Linked DNA regions of Saccharomyces cerevisiae S288C. The gene in region 2 interacts genetically with the main gene of each other region. Each region holds a gene or a part of one and is shown on either strand. Other genes may lie near its edges.

What was found. Genes that interact genetically often act in the same process or in processes that back each other up.
Region 1: mutations in DSS1 (region 2) and CTL1 together harm fitness more than expected from each alone (negative genetic interaction), as found in Saccharomyces cerevisiae (2 studies listed by BioGRID).
Region 3: of DSS1 (region 2) and SUV3, extra expression of one rescues a mutant of the other (dosage rescue), as found in Saccharomyces cerevisiae (3 studies listed by BioGRID, with this or other methods).

The regions. Positions count from the first base shown.
Region 1 is NC_001145.3:618,488-624,819, reverse strand, and holds CTL1 (polynucleotide 5'-phosphatase), read left to right. Parts: upstream 1-1,606; coding exon 1,607-2,569; downstream 2,570-6,332. Other genes in the region: RGM1 (Rgm1p), read left to right, coding at 1-288; YMR181C (uncharacterized protein), read left to right, coding at 740-1,204; SPT21 (Spt21p), read right to left, coding at 2,686-4,962; FPY1 (flavin adenine dinucleotide pyrophosphatase), read right to left, coding at 5,517-6,332. UniProt on the Saccharomyces cerevisiae protein: Probably involved in an RNA processing event other than mRNA capping. Releases gamma-phosphate from the 5'-end of RNA to produce a diphosphate terminus.
Region 2 is NC_001145.3:839,953-849,748, forward strand, and holds DSS1 (exoribonuclease II), read right to left. Parts: upstream 5,394-9,796; coding exon 2,484-5,393; downstream 1-2,483. Other genes in the region: ATP-dependent DNA helicase YKU70, read left to right, coding at 1-43; NGL2 (RNA exonuclease), read right to left, coding at 192-1,739; mitochondrial 54S ribosomal protein uL30m MRPL33, read left to right, coding at 1,990-2,250; U2 snRNP complex subunit HSH155, read left to right, coding at 5,619-8,534; aminodeoxychorismate lyase ABZ2, read left to right, coding at 8,733-9,796. UniProt on the Saccharomyces cerevisiae protein: Essential for mitochondrial biogenesis. Required for intron-independent turnover and processing of mitochondrial RNA. Participates in 3' mtRNA processing where it hydrolyzes single-stranded RNA or partially double-stranded RNA with 3' single-stranded tails.
Region 3 is NC_001148.4:493,742-501,482, reverse strand, and holds SUV3 (ATP-dependent RNA helicase SUV3), read right to left. Parts: upstream 5,978-7,741; coding exon 3,764-5,977; downstream 1-3,763. Other genes in the region: putative serine/threonine protein kinase SKS1, read left to right, coding at 1-808; SMA1 (Sma1p), read right to left, coding at 1,081-1,818; ERG10 (acetyl-CoA C-acetyltransferase), read right to left, coding at 2,191-3,387; TRM44 (tRNA (uracil) methyltransferase), read right to left, coding at 6,237-7,741. UniProt on the Saccharomyces cerevisiae protein: Required for intron-independent turnover and processing of mitochondrial RNA. It is a key control element in nuclear-mitochondrial interactions.

The DNA of each region.
Region 1 (6,332 bases), 220 kb from region 2:
CCATACAATCTGCCCATATCAACTCCTGCTAGCCCACAAGACACTATATCTCTTTACGCACCACCATACTTCCCTCATCCTATGCCATCTGCTCCCATACCATTGCCGCATCAGCCTCCTCCACTACCAATATACAGCTATATGCAACCACTCTTCCTGAACCACACTCCCATACAAAACCACAACATTGTAGAGCTCCCTCCAGATAGCAGTGACACTCCAGCATCGCCGTCTAAGGTGCAAAGTTTTGACCAGGCCAAGGACGCTTCACCAAACGCAAAAAAATAAGCTCTACCGCACCCACTCCTCCATTTCACAAGCCGCATCATTGCTGCTATTGTACCCTCTTGGCCATTCGCGTGCGCGTTGATTGCCGTTATTATGCAGATATTTTGATATCGCTTGCCGTTTGGCTCATCTCCGCGCCCTTAAAATATATCCGCTTCTGTTGGGAAATGCCGAGCATAAAAATGCCGAAAATATAAAAAGAACAAGAACAATACCCTTCGAGGGAAACGCTATTTTCCTGTCCACACAACCTTAATTAATTCGCACGTCTGTGCCACCAAGTAGCAACTGGTTCGTATTGCTTTATCTTTCTTGCTTGTTATTACATTGCTGTAAGATAACAAGCAGCGTTTTACTCTACGGATTGTTTATAAGGATTTTGTTCCTCGACCCCTTATATTTACTCACCTTCCCCCTACTCTAATTCTCCTGATTTCAGAACAAAAAAAAAATGACTCCACTTTTGCAGGCGGAAGCAAAAATGAACACAAGCCTCTACCTTACGGAAAGCATCCAACAACATGAATTCAACCTCACCAGCCCTCAGTCATTCTATTCTTCTCCCTCGGTACCCAATAGTAAAAATAACTCGGGCATTTTCAGCTATAACACTGCCAACAACAGTAGGGTGAGTTCTAGTGATGAATTCACTACCCAACAAGACGGCATGAACACCATAATGTACAAAAACAACATCAGTAAAACTTTCGAAGACGACATCTTTTATTGTCCAAGAAGTTTGCTCACCCCAGAAGAACAAGTGGTATACCAGGAAATTGACAAGTATTACATGGAACAAGCACTATTGACCCAGTTACAAATCTCCCAAACGTATTCCTCCACTCCTAAAGAGGAAAAGATAGTTAAGTTCAATCCCTACACTTCGAAGAGTTTCAGTCCAGCTTCTTCTGAATAACTAACGAGAACACGTTCACTACAGACATGGGGCTTCTTTTCCTTTTTTCATTTTCTTTCTCTTATTATTCTGGGTATTTCTTATTAATCGGTTGAACTATGTATTACGTCGAAATTTCTTTAATATTTCTTTGTATTCTTCACGACGAATTGTTCATTTCATTTTACTCCATTTTTTCAGTATTCCTGGGGCTACAGGTATATGTGGCAAAAAATTTTTTTTCTATTATTTGACGGGATCTCCTATATATTTTATACACTTTTACAGGAAAAAAACTTATTAGTTTTCAATATTTTCTTTATTTTTTTTTCCTTAAGACAACTTTGTTGACTACCAGCAAAATGGGAAAGAAAAAAAAAGCACTGAAAAGGAAAAATGAAAACACTATAGGAAGTTTAAGATATGTCTGACCAACCCGAGACTCCTTCCAATAGTAGAAATTCTCATGAAAATGTTGGCGCAAAGAAAGCTGACGCTAATGTTGCCTCGAAATTCAGAAGCTTGCATATCTCTGAAACCACTAAGCCATTAACATCAACTAGAGCTTTATACAAAACCACAAGAAACAATTCAAGAGGTGCGACAGAATTCCATAAACATGTTTGTAAGTTAGCATGGAAATATCTTGCTTGTATTGATAAATCGTCGATATCACACATTGAAATCGAAATGAAATTTGGTGTTATAACAGACAAAAGGACACATCGCAGGATGACACCACACAACAAGCCCTTTATTGTTCAAAACAGAAATGGCCGCTTAGTGTCTAACGTTCCTGAGCAAATGTTCTCGAGTTTCCAGGAGCTACTCCGCTCAAAATCGGAGAATCCAAGTAAATGTGCCCCAAGAGTAGTAAAACAGGTACAAAAGTATACGAAAGATTCTATATATAACTGCAACAATGCCTCGAAAGTTGGCAAATTAACTTCATGGCGTTGTTCGGAAGACCTTAGAAACAAAGAACTTAAACTTACTTACATCAAAAAGGTCCGGGTCAAGGATTTTCTCATTCGCTATCCTCAAAGTTCATTAGACGCTAAAATTAGCATCAGCCTTGAAGTGCCTGAATACGAAACTTCTGCCGCTTTCAGGAATGGCTTTATTTTACAAAGAACCAAAAGCCGTTCCACCTACACCTTTAATGATAAAATGCCTTTACACTTGGATTTGACAAAGGTTACTACCACGCGAAGGAACTCCCATCAATACACGTCCCATGAAGTGGAGGTAGAAATGGATCCTATATTCAAGGAGACAATTTCCGCTAATGATAGGGAGAAGTTTAATGAGTATATGTGCTCGTTTTTGAATGCCAGCGACCTTATACGTAAGGCTGCAGAACGCGATAACATGTTAACGACATGAAAATGCTAATTAAATACTTCTTTTTGTTCTCTATAAGGTGCTACATGTATGATCTGAGTATATATATATATATATATATATACATGCTGTGCTAGGAATAAGTTCATGTAATATTTTCAGTGTTTTATTGACTGAAATTCACCGATGGGACTTGTTACTACCTGACTTACTCTTATTCCTGAATGGATGAATGTTGAGAATAAATCGTTGGTCTTATCGCTTTCATTATCATCGCCGATATTGTGTCCTTGCTCTTCTTCAACTATGTCCTCAGATAATTCCATGGGTTGATGATAATTGAACATCCCACATGGTGAAGACGGTATTGCCTTTTGCTTTTTGAGGGCTTCCTCCTCTTCCTCTTCATCCAAAACTTCTTCATGAGATCTCTTACTTTGCTGAGTTTCCAGCATGCTAGTAAGCTTTTTCGAAGCTGTAACATTATTATCAGAAGCTGGCTGGTCAGCTGGAGTAGAGAAATTTATAAGCCCTGCCTGAGGTTTTGTATTGTCCGAATCTATTACAGATGCCTTTCTATCTTTTATATCATTATCACATGGGGTGGCATTATTACTATCTGTTATATTTAGTGTCGATCCTTCTTTAATGGATATACGCTGCATGTTTGTTGTCGAGCTTGAATGTGTAAGTTCAATTAAAGGTATAGACAACGAGTCTATTGGGGAGGTTTTGTCAACATCGCTAGGCAAAGATATTTTATTATTTTGCGCTGTTTCCAATTCACTGACATCTTCATTTTCGAGAGCAATGGTGTTACAGGTGTTTGGATCGTTGAGTGTTATAGAAGGCTTCAAATTTTGCTGATTGAGTTGTGATGCACTTGCAGAAGTTGGTGATTCAAAAAAATTGCAATTGAAATTGGAAAACCATCCCATCTCATCTTTAAATACTACATCCGAAAAGTCACTCATGGGGAACTCAGCGTTAAAATCCAAGTCACCTTCAAGCTTGTTCTCTTTACTAGTTATGCTTTGGGGTGGAATATTTTCTTTATCATTTTCACTAGTTAAAGATATCTTACGCCCCTTTTGTTTTTGCTGCAATTTCTGCCCTTCAATGCCTGGTTCCGATAGAATGTCACTTAAAATTGAATCGTCATGATCATTTAAATGTTCTATCACTGATGATCGCCTACATCCTGCTTGTGTAGACTTAGCCGAATTTTTGGAATTCGAATTCTTAACTTTGACAATCGTTTGCTTATCATTTGCTTTTTTTTCACCACTAGTCTTCGGCGGTTGCTTTGGATTTATGTTTATTGAAGCTGGTTTTTTTGCTATCGTTGCTATACCAGGTGACACTTTTTTCGTAGACTTTCTTTTGTTGAGCATAAAATCGAACCTCTTGCTTACCGAATCATCGATCTTGGTCCTCTGAATAGTATTATCGTTTTGCAAAGTATTTATTTCGTAAGCTATGTTTTGATGCTGGTTGTTTTGTTGATTGGCTTCTGTTTTTCTATCTGCTAAGTAGATTTTGTGCGCAATTGAATTTCTTGGGAAACCAGTATTCGCTATATTTGGTTTAAGATTCCAGATGGGTAAAGACTGAGTTCTGACAGCTTTTGGAGCAGGCATAGGATTCGTCTGTCTTCTTCCCACAGTCCCGCTATTAGTATTATTTATTGTTATCGTGGTCCTTGCATTCCTTGAATTTTTTATTTGGTTTGTCTTGAAAAGAGATTGCGATTTTGGGGTAAACGGAAGTGTTGCTGATGGTAAAGAAGACGGCATTTGAAGACACGATATCCGAGAATTTGTAGTATTGTTACCAGACGTCCTTAAATTGGTTATAACTTTTGTGAATCTTAGTTTAACCTCCAAAGTTTCTTCCGGAATTTGGTTGTTTACGACCCTTCCCTTTTTATTCGAGATGTTGCTATATGATCTTCGTAGTAAAGCGGAAACATTCGAGCATACCCTTCCAGTAACTATAAAAGATTCATCTTCATACTCTTCTTCAGTTACCTCATCTCTCTCTTCACTTTCTTCTTCACCAATATTGTTTTCTGTATACTGGTAGGGGCTATTCTTATGAAACTTTTTTCGAAGCCCGGAAAGAAGACCAAGGCTTACTAATGGCTCATCCACTTCACATATGTCACGATAATACAAGTTATAATCATATCCATCTTTTAAAGTGTCATGGTCTAACACTTCAGGTGAATTTAAGTATATTTCATGCAGTATAGTCTTCAAATGGATGGCGCCAATTCGCAACTCCGTTTGCTCATTCGAATCTGTCGGGAATGGACTAGGAATATTAGCAACTCTTACCTGTTTTGGAGCCCTTGAGCGGGCTAAATAACTACCATTGGATCCATTATCCAATGTGTAAAGGATCTTCAATGTCATTTGAGAGAGTTCAGACATTTTACCAGAGTCTTTTGTTCAAGTGAATACCAATTCCAATCCAGGTTTCAGTTGCACCTGGTCAAATTGACTTCAGTTATGTGTGTTGACTAGGTTCAGCTTAAGCGTTGCTTATAAAAGAAGAGATGTAGTAAAGCAACAAACTCACCACGGCTCAGTGCAATTCCCAAGAACCGAACTCTCCATTCAATGGGTCTTTCTCTTCACACACACCTTTTTTCTAACGCGACGCGTTTTTTTTACCTTTTTTATATCACGAAAAAAAACGCGACCGTAAATGAAGGTTTTTCCTTTCATGGAGCAGTTGTATCTATTGAATGAATTATATACCTTTTGCTGGTTTGGTCCTTTCGGATATGCATTTTTCAAATGTTTACTTTAGCGATTGAAGCTCTAACAGTAGCAATGTGATCTTTAATTTTTCAAGGTACCTTTCTACCACGAGCAGTGTACTTTTTTGTTGAGAAGAAAGCGCAACTACCGGCGATGACTGAGATGACTTTGCTCCCAAAAAAAAAATCTATATCTATACATAGTTCTAAATACTCGGGTATTCAGCTCTCCTGGTTCGAGAACTTGTTTTCAAGTTCAGAAGAAATTACTTCTCCCTCGAGGTTATTAACAACTCTATTGACAATACTCTTCAGATATGAATCGTCTTTCTTTTCACCCAAAATACTAACTGTATTGAATCCCATACCAAAATGTGGGTATGAGCCTATTTTAATGGCTTCTGAAACTTTTGTTGATTCATCCTGAATCAACTTTAGCTCTTTAGAAATTTGAGACTCAGTTAGGTGTGTTCTGACAAAATAACGAACATACTCACGTGGATCCTTGTCCAAATTATATATTTTTTTCAACGTGGGAGTGAACGCTTTCAGCATCCTTGCAAATAGTTGAGGGATACCGGGTAGTATATACATTTTGTGAGATATAGAACAAATAGGTACCCACAAGTCATCACACACATAATAATTTTTGACGTTTGTGCCTTTTGGCATGGTTGCCATTTGGTAATGCGCCTTTAGAGCATCTGCATCAAGCCTTGCTTCAGGGTCAGATTTATGCCTCATTCGTTCTTTGCATTCTTCATCTAGTTCACAAGGCAAATTAAAGCTTTTCGCCATACATTCGTAAGTGATGTCGTCATGAGTGGGGCCGATTCCACCTGTACTGATGATAAAATCATAATTTTTGACTAATCTTCTCACAGTATCTACGATCTGGGTTTCATCATCCCCTATAGTTGCAATTTCTTTTAATTGAATTCCATGATCAAAGCAATACTTCGCAAAAAAAGTGGAATTTGTATCAACTACTTTTCCATTCAGCACTTCATCACCAATTATGATACAAGCTGCAGTTAC
Region 2 (9,796 bases):
AGAAAAGAAGCCCTTTGATAAAAAGCCGAAATTCAATATATAAAGACGATTGAAATCCTTCATATCTATAACGTTACATACAATATTTGGTAGGGTAGGGTATTTGATGTAATATTTATTATTAAGAACTTTTGTCGTGCTAAACGTTGTACTGTACAACTATTAGCAAGATATTTATGCACGACAGTAATCTATAGTTGTAACTCTAAATCACACACCATAGACAAATGATCACTTGCATATTCTCCAACATGTGGTTGTCCATGCTTTGTCATTTCATTACCGGGCGGCATTCTCAAAAAACCTCTGCATTTAACTTTATTTTCTTTTTCAAAATCGCCAAGGGTTTCCACTTCCTGACAATTACTTTGTGGGTCCCATTTCTTTACATAAAATAGATAGTCTAATAAACCACGCCAAGTGTTTGCCCAATTTGAAATTTCAGGCTCACCTCTATCATTATCAAGACCTGCATTTTCTGGATGAACATTCTTATACCCAACAGAGTATAGTGAAATAGCCCTCATATCCAATGAGTTATGGAGTTGTGCCATTTTATCTACGAGTTCAGACTGTTCTTCATTAGCATGAAATTTTTCAGGAACGGGGCTCTCAGGTTGATCTTTACCATATTTTTCAATATTCCCGCCTTCTTCGTCATCTGCACCTTCTTCGCCATCACGGACCTTGGAAAACTTATATGAAGTGCTGCACCCAATGACGGTCTTTGCCCTGTTTCTATAGTGCACTGGTTTGGATGTCATAGATAAATATGGTGTGTCGAACGGCTGGGAATTAAAATCACCACAGAAAAAAGGAAACCAATGAGATAAATCCCCATCATTTTCGTTCTGTAAAACATTCACACGATGCATGAATTCCTTCATCTTTTTTAAAACAATATAGCATTGTCTTGTTCGTTCATAAGTACCAAATGGATGCCAAAATAGATGCGTAGTGCCGATCAAGATACCGCATTTTTTAGACGATTTTTTACCCAAATTCGACAGTACTTTCTCAGAAAACTTCAAGGCTAAGACTAATCCCACGTTGTTTGTCGTTGTTCTAGTGGAAATGCTTTCTGAACTTTCTTTATCATAGTCGATTAGCATTTTGTCAACCTGGTGAAATAATTCTCTCCTCCACATTATCGCGACACCATGGTTTTTTGTAGCATTTCTATAATATTGTCCATCGTATCCCAATTTACTGAATTCATCTTTCCAAAAGCTTTGAAACTGAATATGATCAATCTCTTGCAAACAAATGACATCGGAATTATAATATTTAAACTCGTTTAAGAGAACTTTAGAACGCCTGTACCATTTTAAAGCGTCACCACTATCCGGGAACAGCTTTCTGCGGATTAGAGCTTGCGCCAAGCAATTATAAGTCATTAGCTTGAATCTAAATCCAGTTACTGGCTCTGCCTCATGTAGAGATAGGAAAGGTCTTCTGATAAAATGCAGCTCTGGCGGGCAGTCCGGATCAACACCTTGAGCCAACATTGCATCTCTTTTAGCCTTTCTCATAACTTCCCTTTCGGCACGAACCTTAGCGATATGTTCTGGGGTCACTATGGGCTTCGATTTTTTACCTTTCTTGCCCTTCTTTTTATGTTGAAGTAACGAATCATCATTGGTTTGATGTTTTGCATCTTTTACAGATTTATTAATTTCTACTTCTTGGTCGGGCGCAACATCTGGGGCAACCACTTTGACTTCTTTGTCTTGTGTCATATTTACTTAATACTCTTAACTACAATTAAGAAGCTATAAGGAGACTACAATCTCATCTTCTTGCAACACTACTTTTCCTTTCCTCTTGCTTTAGTGCAACCATTTTTTGAAAAATGAATGGTCTTTCTGCACGAAATATCTCTCGAAGAGCTTTTCTAGATATTAAGGATAAAGTATATCATCCCAAAAGTTAGGTGATGGAATCAATATTGATGGACCAGCTAAAACACGTTGAAAGCAGATATCAGGAATGGTGTTTTACAAAGTCACGTTGAGTAGGTCGCTTATCGGTGTGCCACACACAACGAAGAGCATTGTCAAAAGTTTGGGTTTAGGTAAAAGAGGGTCCATAGTCTACAAAAAAGTAAACCCGGCCATAGCTGGCTCCCTAGCTAAAGTAAAAGAGTTAGTCAAAGTAGAAGTAACAGAACATGAATTAACACCATCGCAGCAACGAGAGTTGAGAAAGTCAAACCCTGGGTTTATAGTGGAGAAGAGAACCATCGACTGAAACAGCGAAAATAAGGCAACTGGATTTCCTTTCTTCTTGATATTCCTGACTTATATATGTATATAGTATTATTTTTTCCTGCATAGGCACATATGTTAATAGTAATTTATGCAATTTTTGATACAAAGAAATCAATACACTATCTCGATTTCATATTTTATGTATGTATATATTTACAAGAAGAAAATTATGCATGGTCTATTGAATTTTATATTTGGAAAAAGAGTCCCTTTTTATAGCTTTTCCAACTCTAACATTCCTTCTAAACAGTCAATTTTTGAAATTTTACAATTCTTCACGATATCTCCAATCATCGGATAATGCATAGAACTTGGATGCAATTTTAATGTTCCTCTAGCGAACGATAAGTCTGGAAAAACACATCCAGTAAATCCGTTCTGCGGTACTGATGTTACCATTACATCGAAAGTCCTTTCTGGCTCTAGTTTGGTTAGCTTTTTTAAATAATTCAGTGTCCAGTACGTCGACGAATTACGGCTAGCCCTTTTTAAAATATCCGCTCGAGATTGAATTGGCCAGATCAAACTGTCGATTTGTGTTTGATTAAAACATAGAGGCTTTTTCTGCAAATGACGGTGAATTTGTAGATGATTTATCAAGTCTGGAAAACGACGAAGAGGGGATGTTACTGTCAAATATTGTTTAGCTCCAATCATTTCATGTCTAAAAGGTCGACCTGTATAAAAACTCGAGTTCAACAATGAAGAAAGCTTAACGATATCTTTTAGCTTGGGAAAAATTCCTTTTTTTGTACTTGTTATCATAGAATCATACTGTTGTTGTGCTACTTCGCCCAGTGGTAACTGTTTATAACATCTGAACACACCACCGATTTTGTTCTCCGCAAAATATCTACCCGTTAAAGTATTCGCCAAGATCATCATTTCTGAAACCAAAATGGTAGACAGCGTCTCCTCTTGATCCGAAAATGTTACCTCAGTCAGTTCTCCTTCTGAATCGGCGTTTAGCATCACTAGGCCCTTATTAAAGCCCTCCCCGAAAATAACAGCATTACTGTTTTTTATACGTTGTTCTCTCAATAATTTGGAAATCATGGACAAACTTTCCAAATCCTTTTTGACAGGTGATGCTTCGCTATTGGGTGTACCGAGTATCCTGTCAACATCTTCATAAGTGGCCTTTGGGAAGTTGGACACAATGCCTTTCCGGATTTTAAAACTGTCATACATAATTTCAATTGATTTTCCACTGCATTTAGAAGTGATTTTAACATCAACAGAGAAGGATATAGTTTTCGTCCTTTGTCCTTGTTTCCCCAAATCTGATAAGTGACAAATAGATTGAGGTAACATAGGAACAACCGTATCTGGTAAATATGTGGTAAATGATCTTTTCAAGGCAACATTTAGGATATCTGTACTTATACCCTCAATATCAACATTAGTGCTTTCCGGAAACATAGAAGTTGGATCCGCAATATGAATATATAAAGTGTACAGTCCATCTCTACCATAGTTTTTCACCGACACGCCGTCATCAATCTCATGCGCAGTTTCAGAGTCTATACAAAAAACCCTAAGATCGCCAAAATCGTACCTATCGTCATCAGTGCCGGATTTTTTCCATTGCAATTCTTCTATATTAGTTAAGTCGTAGAGTTTTTGTTGCCATTTCACTAACTTCGAGGAAGCAGGTAATGCTAAATCCATGTTAAGTAACAATGGATTGGGTATTGAGTTGGGTGTTATCTCATTGATTAAATCTTGACATATATCTCTTGTGATGTCACAATCCTTATAGCGTTCTATCTTTCTGAATATTTTTGAGATCAAAGCTACTATAATTCCGTTATTGTGAAAATTCCCAGCAGCAAAATCTTTCAATAATTGGATCACAGAAGGATATAAAGCTGATATATCGCGATATTTCCTTTCATTCACCAATTTTACAAACTTATTGACCTCTCTATAACTGTTGGCTTCTAGCTTCTCTATCACCTGCGCATAATATAAATGTTGTGATTTTAAGGGAATAATCGTTACTGATATAGGCGACAGCAACGCTGTATTCAGATGGATTTCCCCCCAAAGGTTCGATTCCTGTTGTTGCATAATCGCCCAGTACGTGGAAACAAAGGTAGGTGAATTTATTGGTATATCGTTTACAGTGTGATAGTTATTAACTAAACTAGTTAAGTAATTTATTCCATTTTTATCGTCCAAGGCTTTATTTAAATCCAATTTCTGAACTAATCCGACTAGGGTAAAAAAAGGAATCTGCCATGGACCCATATAATTTTGTAATGATCTGTGGAGTAACTGTAATTTTTTGGTAGTAATGGGCAAATCTTTCCAGGCCAACTTTGAAATTTGGGCTGGATACCTACTTGTTATTAGCTGCCTTGCTACAATAGGCAAAATATTCGTTTGGTTAGAAAAGTTCTTAACGGTTCCAATTGGCAAATGTTTGTGATGGCTCTCAGGCTGTATAAGTGAATGGATTCCAGCAGGTAATTTGTGAGGAATCCTCAATAACACCCGGTTTTTGGTCGCAAAGCACATAGTTCCATCAATAGTAACAAAAGTGTATCGAGGATCCATAGTGCTACTTGGAAGACTTACACACATCGCCAATTCATTGGGTCTCATTTTTAAAAGAACAAAGTCACCAACATTTAAGGGACTTTCCATTAGCTGAACAGGTTGAAATTCCATTGGGTTTGGAGCTTTCAGTTTTGTTATTAATTGAAAATCTGAATTTATTAACTTGTAAAGCGGAATTTTTGGTTTTGTTAAAGACCTCCAGGAGTTTACGTACCAATCTTCGGAAGGTTTAACATACCTATCTTTATAACGTTGGTTAAATTCCTGTTTAATTTGAGGCAGTTGTTTTAATTCAATATCAGGCTCTAATCCTTTTGTTCGTTGCAGAAAGTCTTTGTTTATTGATTCTATATCTTTCTCCGGTCCAACCGAACGGTCTACAACTGTCTCTGTAGCTTGATCATTATCTAGCTCTCGTGTGTGATCTAGTTCTACTTTTGCTTGCTGCTTACTCTTACTTCGCTGTCGTTTGCCTCTGGTAGTTACTCTGAAGCAAGGTGTGTAGGAATGAAAGCTCCTTGCAATTAGAAGAACATGTACTTTCCGCCTAACTACCATCACCTGTCTTTATTTATTCCGCTGACAGATATGCACAACCAATTATCGTCTCTTGAAAGCTTTTTAGACGTGATTGCTGTTATTTGGCACGTTGTTAGTATTTAAGCTTATTCGGGTTTGCATTGATATTTGCCCGAGCAGAAATCTCCTTCTCGATGAGTTAGAACTGAAACATCTCTTCAATTACTTATACATAATAAACATAGAAAGCCAGGACCTGTCATCATGAGTCATCCGATTCAATTTGTAAACGCTAATAATAGCGATAAGAGCCACCAATTAGGCGGTCAATATTCTATTCCTCAGGATTTGAGGGAAAACCTGCAGAAAGAAGCTGCACGTATTGGTGAGAACGAAAAAGATGTGCTACAGGAAAAAATGGAAACTAGGACAGTGCAAAATCGAGAGGATTCATACCACAAAAGAAGGTTTGATATGAAGTTTGAGCCGGATTCCGATACACAAACTGTTACGTCTTCAGAAAATACCCAAGACGCTGTCGTGCCAAGGAAAAGAAAATCTCGTTGGGATGTAAAAGGGTACGAGCCACCTGATGAATCTTCAACAGCGGTCAAAGAAAACTCTGATAGTGCTTTGGTTAATGTAGAAGGAATCCATGATTTGATGTTTTTTAAACCTTCTGACCATAAATATTTCGCCGACGTTATATCCAAAAAACCCATAGATGAGTTAAATAAGGATGAAAAGAAAGAAAGAACCCTGTCGATGTTACTTCTGAAAATAAAAAATGGCAATACAGCGAGTAGGAGGACTTCTATGCGGATTTTAACCGATAAAGCTGTTACATTTGGTCCAGAAATGATATTTAACCGCTTATTGCCCATATTACTAGACAGAAGTTTGGAAGACCAGGAAAGACATCTAATGATCAAGACCATAGATCGCGTCCTTTACCAGCTAGGAGATTTAACAAAACCTTACGTTCACAAAATACTTGTAGTAGCTGCCCCATTGCTAATAGATGAAGATCCAATGGTTCGTTCAACAGGCCAGGAGATAATCACCAATCTGTCTACAGTCGCTGGCCTAAAAACCATTCTAACAGTAATGAGACCTGATATTGAGAATGAGGATGAGTATGTTAGAAATGTAACTTCAAGAGCGGCGGCTGTGGTGGCAAAAGCCCTTGGTGTTAATCAATTGCTTCCTTTCATCAATGCAGCATGCCACTCACGGAAGTCTTGGAAAGCAAGGCATACTGGCATAAAAATTGTGCAGCAAATAGGTATACTTTTGGGAATAGGTGTCTTGAATCATCTTACTGGGCTGATGAGTTGTATCAAAGACTGCCTAATGGATGATCACGTTCCGGTGCGAATTGTTACAGCACATACTTTATCAACACTAGCAGAAAATTCTTATCCATATGGTATCGAAGTTTTCAACGTTGTACTGGAGCCATTATGGAAGGGTATAAGAAGTCATCGTGGTAAAGTGCTATCTTCTTTTTTAAAAGCTGTTGGATCTATGATCCCATTGATGGACCCAGAGTATGCCGGTTATTATACCACAGAAGCAATGAGAATAATTAGACGTGAATTCGACTCTCCCGATGATGAAATGAAAAAGACCATTCTTTTAGTATTACAAAAATGTAGCGCTGTAGAATCCATAACGCCAAAATTTCTGAGAGAAGAAATCGCGCCAGAATTCTTTCAAAAATTTTGGGTCAGACGAGTGGCATTGGATAGACCATTAAACAAAGTTGTTACATATACTACTGTTACATTAGCAAAGAAATTAGGTTGTTCTTATACCATTGATAAATTATTAACACCATTGAGAGATGAAGCTGAGCCGTTCAGAACAATGGCTGTCCATGCTGTTACTAGAACAGTAAACTTATTAGGGACAGCAGATTTAGATGAGAGATTAGAAACGAGGCTTATTGATGCGCTCTTGATAGCATTTCAAGAACAAACAAATAGTGATTCTATAATCTTTAAAGGGTTTGGGGCAGTGACGGTGTCACTTGACATCCGTATGAAACCGTTTTTAGCACCCATTGTGAGTACGATTTTAAATCATTTAAAGCATAAAACTCCCTTGGTTCGTCAACATGCAGCAGATCTATGTGCCATACTAATACCAGTCATCAAGAACTGTCACGAATTCGAAATGTTGAATAAATTGAACATTATATTGTATGAATCCTTAGGCGAAGTATATCCAGAGGTATTAGGTTCTATAATCAACGCTATGTACTGTATTACTAGCGTAATGGATTTGGATAAACTACAACCTCCTATTAATCAAATTTTACCAACCTTAACTCCAATTTTAAGAAACAAGCATAGAAAAGTCGAAGTAAACACTATCAAATTTGTTGGACTTATTGGTAAATTAGCACCTACCTATGCACCTCCTAAAGAATGGATGAGAATATGTTTTGAACTATTAGAACTTTTGAAAAGTACAAATAAAGAAATAAGAAGATCAGCAAATGCCACGTTTGGATTCATTGCTGAAGCAATTGGACCTCACGATGTTCTTGTTGCGTTATTGAACAATTTAAAGGTTCAAGAACGTCAGTTACGTGTATGCACGGCTGTTGCTATCGGTATCGTTGCTAAAGTGTGTGGTCCTTACAACGTGCTGCCAGTAATCATGAATGAATACACAACACCAGAGACTAATGTTCAAAACGGTGTTCTCAAGGCCATGTCATTCATGTTTGAGTACATTGGTAACATGTCTAAGGATTACATATACTTCATAACACCATTATTAGAAGATGCACTCACCGATAGGGATTTAGTTCATCGTCAGACAGCGTCGAACGTAATAACCCACTTAGCTTTAAACTGTTCAGGTACAGGTCACGAAGATGCCTTCATTCATTTAATGAATCTTCTAATACCCAATATTTTTGAAACTTCACCACATGCTATTATGCGTATTTTAGAAGGTTTGGAGGCACTGAGTCAAGCTCTTGGCCCTGGACTATTCATGAACTACATATGGGCAGGATTGTTCCATCCAGCGAAGAATGTAAGGAAAGCATTTTGGAGGGTGTATAATAACATGTACGTAATGTACCAGGACGCCATGGTACCTTTTTACCCCGTTACACCAGACAACAATGAAGAATATATAGAAGAACTGGATTTAGTTCTGTGAATATATATAGAGCATATAAATAACCACAACTTGTAAGAATATTTTACTTGACACACCTATATCATCACGTCACGATGCCTTCATAGATTATGATGAAATATAAACAGAACCTGCTATTGGAAAAAAAAGGGCAGGAAAAAATTTTGTGAAAGTGAGTAAAAGAAAGATGAAGAGCGAGACATGGATAATAAGAAATAGATGTCACTAATGGACAATTGGAAGACTGATATGGAAAGTTACGATGAAGGAGGCCTAGTTGCTAATCCGAACTTCGAGGTTCTGGCCACTTTCAGGTACGACCCTGGTTTTGCACGCCAGTCAGCGTCAAAGAAAGAGATCTTTGAAACTCCAGACCCTCGATTAGGTTTGAGAGACGAAGATATTAGGCAGCAGATAATTAATGAGGATTACTCAAGTTATTTACGAGTAAGGGAGGTTAATTCCGGCGGTGACCTTCTCGAAAATATTCAGCATCCTGATGCTTGGAAGCATGATTGCAAGACCATTGTGTGCCAGCGTGTAGAAGATATGCTACAAGTCATTTATGAACGATTTTTTTTATTAGATGAACAATACCAAAGAATAAGAATAGCATTATCATACTTTAAAATTGACTTCAGCACGTCTCTGAATGATTTATTGAAGTTATTGGTTGAAAACTTGATTAATTGTAAAGAAGGAAATTCAGAGTATCACGAAAAAATTCAAAAAATGATCAACGAAAGGCAATGCTATAAAATGCGGGTACTTGTCTCTAAGACAGGAGATATACGAATTGAGGCAATTCCAATGCCTATGGAGCCTATCCTAAAATTAACAACCGATTATGACAGTGTTTCCACATACTTCATCAAAACGATGCTCAATGGATTTTTAATTGATAGCACAATAAATTGGGATGTTGTTGTTTCATCTGAACCATTGAACGCATCAGCTTTCACCAGTTTTAAAACCACTTCAAGAGATCATTACGCTAGGGCGAGAGTTCGCATGCAAACTGCTATAAATAACTTAAGAGGTTCAGAACCTACTTCTTCTGTCTCGCAATGCGAAATTTTATTTTCCAACAAATCTGGCCTGCTGATGGAAGGTTCAATAACAAACGTGGCTGTAATTCAAAAAGATCCTAACGGTTCTAAAAAGTATGTGACACCAAGATTAGCAACTGGATGTTTGTGCGGAACAATGCGTCATTATTTATTGCGGCTCGGCCTTATTGAAGAGGGAGATATAGATATAGGAAGCCTTACCGTTGGCAACGA
Region 3 (7,741 bases), on a different chromosome or scaffold from region 2:
TTTGAATACCACCACCAACGGCATACACGTCGACGAATGCTGTTCGAGCCTCCCTACGGATACAGGAGATATATGGTCTCTAGGCATCATCCTAATTAATTTAACTTGCATAAGAAACCCATGGTTAAAAGCTCACCAGAAGGAGGATAACACATTTCAACATTTTGCTAACGATAATAATGTCCTGAAGAAAATCCTTCCTATATCAGATGAGCTGTTCACAGTGTTGACGAAAATTCTACAACTAAATCCATACACAAGAATAGACATGAAAACTTTGATGTCCGAAGTTTCCTCTCTTACTTCTTTCACCAGGGAAGGGCCCTTGTCTCAAGTTCCAATCCTATCGAGCGAAGTTTACATGACGCATATTATAAGGAATGAAAACCTATTTTTGAGCGATTTATCACATTTTTCTGCAGACCAAGAACAACAACAACAACAGCAACAACAACAACAGCAAGTCCAAGAACAAGAACAGGAACAAAAACAAGAACAAATACAAAACCAGGAACAAGCACAACAGCAGCAAGAAGAGGAAGATGCTGAACCGGAGAGTGATATTCCATCAACGTATAATAGTGACGGAAGTATGGAAAAGTATGAATACACTAACAACCACAATAATAGTACCTTTTTAACTTCCTCAATGGACAGTACACCTTACCAATCTGATATCGATGACGTTAGTGCTTCCAAAGATTGCAAATTCCAACAAGATACATTAAGAAATAGGCTATTATGCTTACAAATGAATTTTTCTACTTTAACAGACGGTCCAAACGAGAAATGGTTACCAGATTATTGAGCAGGTCTCACCTTTATACTCACTGTATTATCTTATGTTCTAATTCGGTAATAGCTTCACCTTTTCTTTTTATCTTTGAGGTTTGTTTTTTTTCTAGTATCCTACTAGGATGGCTATAAGCAATGGCTGGAACGATTTTCATACTTTTTTTACGAACTTACGACTTTTCAGTGTCTTCTTTGATCAAAAGGAGATCACTATGGATATATATGTCCTACATAACTAATTACAATAATGATAGAATGACAGAACTTAGTCACTTTTTTTGTTTCTCAGCCCGGCGACGGCGCATTTGAATGGGTGGAAATCTTCGCTGATACCAGGTTGACAGTCTTATGATACGATTTTTTCGTCCTTTGCTTCCCCCGCAATAACCTTGCCTTTCCTCTATTTGCCGCGTTAGTAAAAGACCTTTCACAGCATCTGTAAAGTTCCTTTAATCGCATTGCAAAATACCAGGGCCTAAATGGAACTTCCTCAAACTGTCTTTCCAACCTTTCTAAGGGGTACATAAACTTTTGATATTGGATTTCCATCGATTCCCAAGGACTTCTCTTTATTGGACATTGCTTGCCTGTGACTTTTATAGGCGGCTTATAATATAGCACAAGGTCGGGCAAGTAACAAAATACAGCACTTCCTCCATTCTTATCAGGGTAGTAAGAGACTGAATCCCGAATCTCTTTTTCATTAATAACAATTTTGTTTTCTTCGATTTTCATGTTCTTGGTGGAAGAAAAAGTTTCCAACCAAGAATTGAGTTTATGTAATAATGATTCTGGGACAGGTGGCAATAAGGTAACACCCTCTCTTTTTTTCAATTCCATTTTATGATTTGCCGTTTCAGTTCTAGAAGTTTTCAAAGCAGAGTTTCGTTTGAATATTTTACCAATGGATTTTGAAAATCGTTTACCAGCACTAAATTCATGCTTGGATCCCGAATGTTGGAACAGGTGCTTAACACTCACAATTTCGGGATATTTATTAGGACCATCATTAGTACATGCCATTTCCTCTTTCCTCGCCACCAGATTTTAAGGCAGTTGATGTTTGCTTCCAAGGGAGAAAAGGAACTTATAACGGTTAAAATTAATAGAGCCTGAAGAGAATGAAGGCAGCCAAGACATTGATTAACATCCTACAATTGTAGAGCAGTCAAACGAGTTAATACCACAAATGTCAGTAATTAGTGGAACTTGTGCAAGTATCACCCGGCCAGCTTGCCAAGGCGGAAAAGTAAGTCAAAAGGCACACCTCAGCGTTTGAGTACCTGAAAAACGATGAATCGCAAATAAAACTTTAAATTATGCCTGTTATACATAAAGCCATTTATATATTTATGTATTTTATGAAAAAGATCATGAGAAAATCGCAGAACGTAATCATATCTTTTCAATGACAATAGAGGAAGCACCACCACCACCATTACAAATGGCGGCAACACCGATCTTACCTCCTTCTTGCTGTAAGATGGATAGCAGTGTAACAACCACTCTAGCACCAGAACAACCCAATGGGTGACCTAGAGCAACAGCACCACCATATACATTAACCTTAGATGGGTCTAGCTTCAAAATCTTAGTGTTCACCAAACCGACAACCGAAAAGGCTTCATTGAATTCAAAGTAATCAACAGAATTGATGTCTTCGATGCCAGCATGTTTCAAAGCCTTTGGAACTGCAAGAGATGGAGCCCATGTAAAATCAGCTGGTTGATGAGCGGCCTCACCCCAACCTTTGATAATAGCCAAAGGCTTCAAATTCTTTTCCTTCAAAACTTTTTCGGAAACCAAGATGACGGCTGCAGCACCATCGTTGATTGGAGAAGCGTTAGCGGCAGTAACAGTACCGTTTTCTTTTTGGAAAACAGTCCTTGCAGATCTCAATTTTTCAACGTGTAATCTAGCAGGTTCCTCGTCCTTCGTGACTTGAGTATCAGGCTTACCTCTAAATCCCTTAATGGTAACAGGTACAATTTCATTGTCGAATTTACCTTCCTTTTGAGATTTTTGAGATTTTTGGTAGGATTCGATGGCAAAATTGTCTTGTTGTTCTCTAGTAATATCCCAATCACGGGCACACTTTTCTGCGTGTACACCCATGGCTAGACCATCGTACGCATCGTTCAACCCATCTCTTTCGACACCATCAACAAGAACAGTTTGGCCAAATTTGGCACCCGCACGGGCTGCTGGCATGTAGTATGGTGCGTTAGTCATAGATTCACAACCACCAGCTACGACAACATCAGCATTACCACATTTGATGGATTGAGCACCCAAAATGATTGCCTTCATAGCGGATGCACAGACCTTGTTAACTGTGCTTGCAACGATATGATTACTCAAACCGGCAGCCAAAGCAACTTGTCTGGCCGGAGCTTGGCCCAAATTGGCAGAAAGAACGTTACCAAAAATAATTTCGTCAAAATCCTTGGATGCATCCAATTCTGGAACCTTAGCCAAGGCGCCTTTTAAAGCAACAGCACCCAATTCCACTGCTGTCTTGGAGGATAGAGAACCCTGGAATGAACCAATTGGGGTTCTGGCAGTCGATACAATGTAAACGTTCTGAGACATTTTGAGTACGTCTAATCTGTATAAATATATATGATATGGCGCTTGTTTTAGGCTACCTTTTTTCAGAGAACTAGAAAACGAGTAGGCTTAGCAGTGCTCTTAATGGAAGCGCTTGTTCCTCTTTTATATATTTTACTGCCCTTTGCTCAACGGTGGCCTATCAACCTGGCCACGAACGTGTGGTGGGCTAGTAGTACCGTACTCTCCAGCGAAAAAACCGGCTTGGGCGGTAAACGACAGGCACCTCGTTATAAGTGACGTGCCTGTTAGGAAACGATAAACCCGGCAGGGCACAACAATGGCATCATACCAGAAATGTATCATGTTAAGGCTTTCAAGCAGTGTAGCTGTTTCTATTTACAGGATATATCGTAGATTATGTACGCAATCTTCTTCTCGAAGATGAGAGGTGACCTCTTGTAGAACCAAAGGGCTTATGTGCGTAAGGATTCTTCTTTAATCGATCAAGTTTCTCGAAAATAATCATCTCACAGAAATACTTCAAATCTTTAGCAGATTCCATGTCAATGAAGTAGTTTGGGTACCTGTTGCTGAGCCAGAAGTATAGAGTAATGATGTTGTACAATGACTCATAAACCTCTAATGAATAACTCTCATTCGGTATGCAATTGTAGTCCAGTAGGTTAAAAGGTAATCGGTATGACAGTAGGCCTCTTGTATGCCTTTTTGCTATTGTTTCGCAAAATTTGGTGAACGCCTTTGTGACCATAGGCATGTCCTTCACGGGCGCATTGCTTAGTTTCAGCTTGTCGAAAAATGGGATATCTTCCATGTGCTCGAATAAGCCAATAACTTTCAGTTTGCTCTTTAAATCAGATAACGTGAACAGGTTGTCAGAACTTTTCTCTAGCTCATCTGAAATAGTCTGCAGCAGGACACTGGTCGGCGTTCCTGGTGGGAATTGTGTCATTAGTTGAGCACATATTTCATCTGTAGGCCATGTAACCGCAGTTTTTAAATACTCCACAGGTGCTTCAATAGCTTTTCTTACACTTTTCAAAACTTTTGATTCGAAACTGGTGATAAAACCCTGAGGAACACCCCCGGAGGCAGATCTAGATTTGAACCTTCCCGCACGACCACCTATTTGTTTGATTTGAGAAGAAGTCATTTCCATTAGTTCTTCACCATTATATTTCATATTTGTCGTGAATACAACTCTGTCAATAGACAGGTTTAAACCCATACCAATAGCGTCTGATGCTACCATTATGTCATACTCTCCATTGTTGAATAGGGCGGCTTGTTGAACACGTGTTTCAGGCGGCAAAGAGCCATAAATTACAGCAACTTTCAAATTGGTGTCTTTCTCTATCTTTAGCTTGAGATCCAATATTTTCTTCTTTGAAAACGCAACGACGCAATCTCCTTTGCGCAAACCTTTGATGCCATCTTTGATAGGTTTTTCTTCAACACTTAACTTTCCTAACCTCTCATATTCATTAATCGTTAATTTATCGCCAGTCATTTTAACAATGCTCTTAACCAAAGGTAGAACACTCTTTTCACCACAAAGATGGACCTCCTTGGAAACGACACCTAAAAGCGCGTTCGTCCAAGCCCAGCCACGATCCCCATCAGACATCATTTGAATTTCATCAAGAACAACAACGTCAAATTTTTGATTTATTGGCACCATTTCTACTGTGCCTGATGTCAGCCCTGCTGAATTTCCTCTATCATCCAAATCACGAATAACTTCCTCTCCAGTCAGTAAATTGCATCTTATCTTTTCTGCATGAAATCTATCGTACACTTCCCTTGCTAGCAGTCTTAACGGCCCTGCGTAGTACCCACGGTCCACGGATTTCAATTTCTGTAACGCTCTATAAGTTTTGCCTGAATTCGTGGGCCCAATGTGCATGATTATATGTCTTCTAATCTTTCTTGCCTCCGGAAACCACTCTGCTGGATTTGTTATGTCAACGTTGTGAGCGCCATCTGTATCATCTGTATTCGTCATCATGGGTAGTATCTCCTGCTCGTACACATGGTCGAAGGTCTGTTGCAGGACGTGGATAAATTTATCCAATGTAGTTATATTGTTACTCAGGCTATATTTGAGAACAGATTTCCAGACTAAATTGCTGATTTTATTGCAATTTATCAGCAACGAAATCAAATTGCCAGGAGATGAAGGATGTATGATCTCACTTACCGAAGGTACATAGGTTTTGGCTTGCAGTTTCGGATCTTTTAGTTGTTGATATATGTAATCTCTTAATTTCAACCAAGCAAGATTCTTTATTGGTACTTGCTTGGCATCCAAGGATGACAATTTATCGTTATAGATAAATTGCATCGCTTTATCAAGGTTATCTTTAAATGATGAATCCTGTAAATACACATTATTGCTTTCGGACTTGTTAAAATTAAACTGGAATATATCTAATTTTGAATGTTCATTTTTGGGTAAATTTAGGAATTTAGGTCTTTTCACAATCCAATCCTTATCATGAAATAGATCGATGCTATGCGGCTCGCTGTGGTAATATGCTTTCTTGATGGACACAAACAGTCGCAATGATCGGAGTGGAAAAAAAACTGTGCTGTATTTGACAAGTGCCATGCTAGTATACTCTATCGGCACTTAAATCTTCTTTCTTTTCATAGTTGAACCTCTTTCTTTGAAAGTATCAAGTTTCTGCATTTTGGCTTCTCATTGTCTATGCATCGGGCGAAGAAATTATTAACGCTGTTTACGATGGACCATCAATTTTTAAGTAAAAATGAAAAAATTAGATAAATTGTATAGTCTTATATGTACGTATGATATTCTAATTAGTCTATAAATGAACGCACATACAAATAATAGATGATACATCTATTTAATGGTTTCTTGGGTTTCTTTTCAATAAGGACATTGTGTTCTGAATCCACCCTTCAGCTCCACCGTCTTCCCAAATCATATCGTACACTGCTTGCGTTGGAAAATGCTTTAAGGTTGCATTTTCTACACCTATGATGGCTGCATTTCTTGTGCTTGGTATCCTTAACATCTCTTTCTCTACTTTCCAGCCTACACGAGATGAAATATATTCAACGTGATCAACCAAACCAGAGTAGGTGCTCTTACTGTTATTCTGGTTTTTGATTTCATTTGACCTAGGCGAACGTTTCCTTACGTTAAAACGAACTCTCTGGCCAGAAAAATTATGAGAGCAACAAGGTATAACCATATAAGGATGACCTAGTAATGGGATCCAGCAAGTCAACTCATCTGAGTGGTTACCTATAATAAAAGTATCTGGTGGGAACTCTGCTGTATTGACCTGCGGAGATTTTAGTAAGTCCTCACTTGAATACACGACGGTTGCGGGGGCAATCACTTCGTGCGTCACCTTGACTGGGAAAAATCTCCCATTGTGTTCCAAATGAGGTACTTGTCTTTTCAAAGCAGGATGGGGTCTTAAAAGGATAGAAGGTATTATAACTTGCTCCTTTAACGATGATTGCACTTCAGGCGGGTAGATAGACCACGATTTGCGCTTCCTTGCATCTATGCCGAGACCTTTAATACTTTCACTCAGTAAAATATAACAAAGAGCACCATTGCCGCATCCCAAATCTCTAAATTGCATTTTTGAACGGAAGTCTGGACCGTACACTTTAATCCATAATTCAATCAGGAAAGCGGCAATGGCTATGTCTTCAAAAACATGTTTTTTTGGGTCTGTAGACTCTGCCCAATTCTCCACCAGGAACTTGGAGTATTTTTTCTTCAAAACAATGTATGTGTTCTGAAAATTGACTTTATTTACCACTTGATCGTGATTGACCCTCTTTTCATAACCCTGCATCACACCCTTTGAGTGTTTGTTAGCAGTTTGTAATAACCTATAAGCGGTTCTTACAACACGCTCAGATTCATCTGTAAAGGCAGTTTTATCCTCGGGGAAGGGAATGTAGTGTACAGAAAGAACTGACTGGTGTAACAAAATGCCTACACTTTGCGTTCTTGGAATATAAAACGGACAGTCTTTCTCAGAGTTAATGTGCGGCGTATATACAATCAATGAGGTCTCCTGAAAATTAGGGTCTTTGCTATTTAGGATTAAACATGTTTGGTTTATGATAGCATCTTTGTAAAAATTCCTAGGAATGATCCTTCTTACAAATTCATGAACGGGTGACAATTTTAAACTCTCAGATGTTTCACACGACCTTATGTTTAAATCTTCAATATTTATCTTCTTGACATCTTCTTCACCGCTTTCATTACCATTATCGATCTCAAACTTTTTTAATACGGACTCGTCAAATTTTGGCTCAGACCCAGCTTCTGCAGCATGATTGATCTCTTTCAAAATATCCGCTCTTAATATGACAGTAG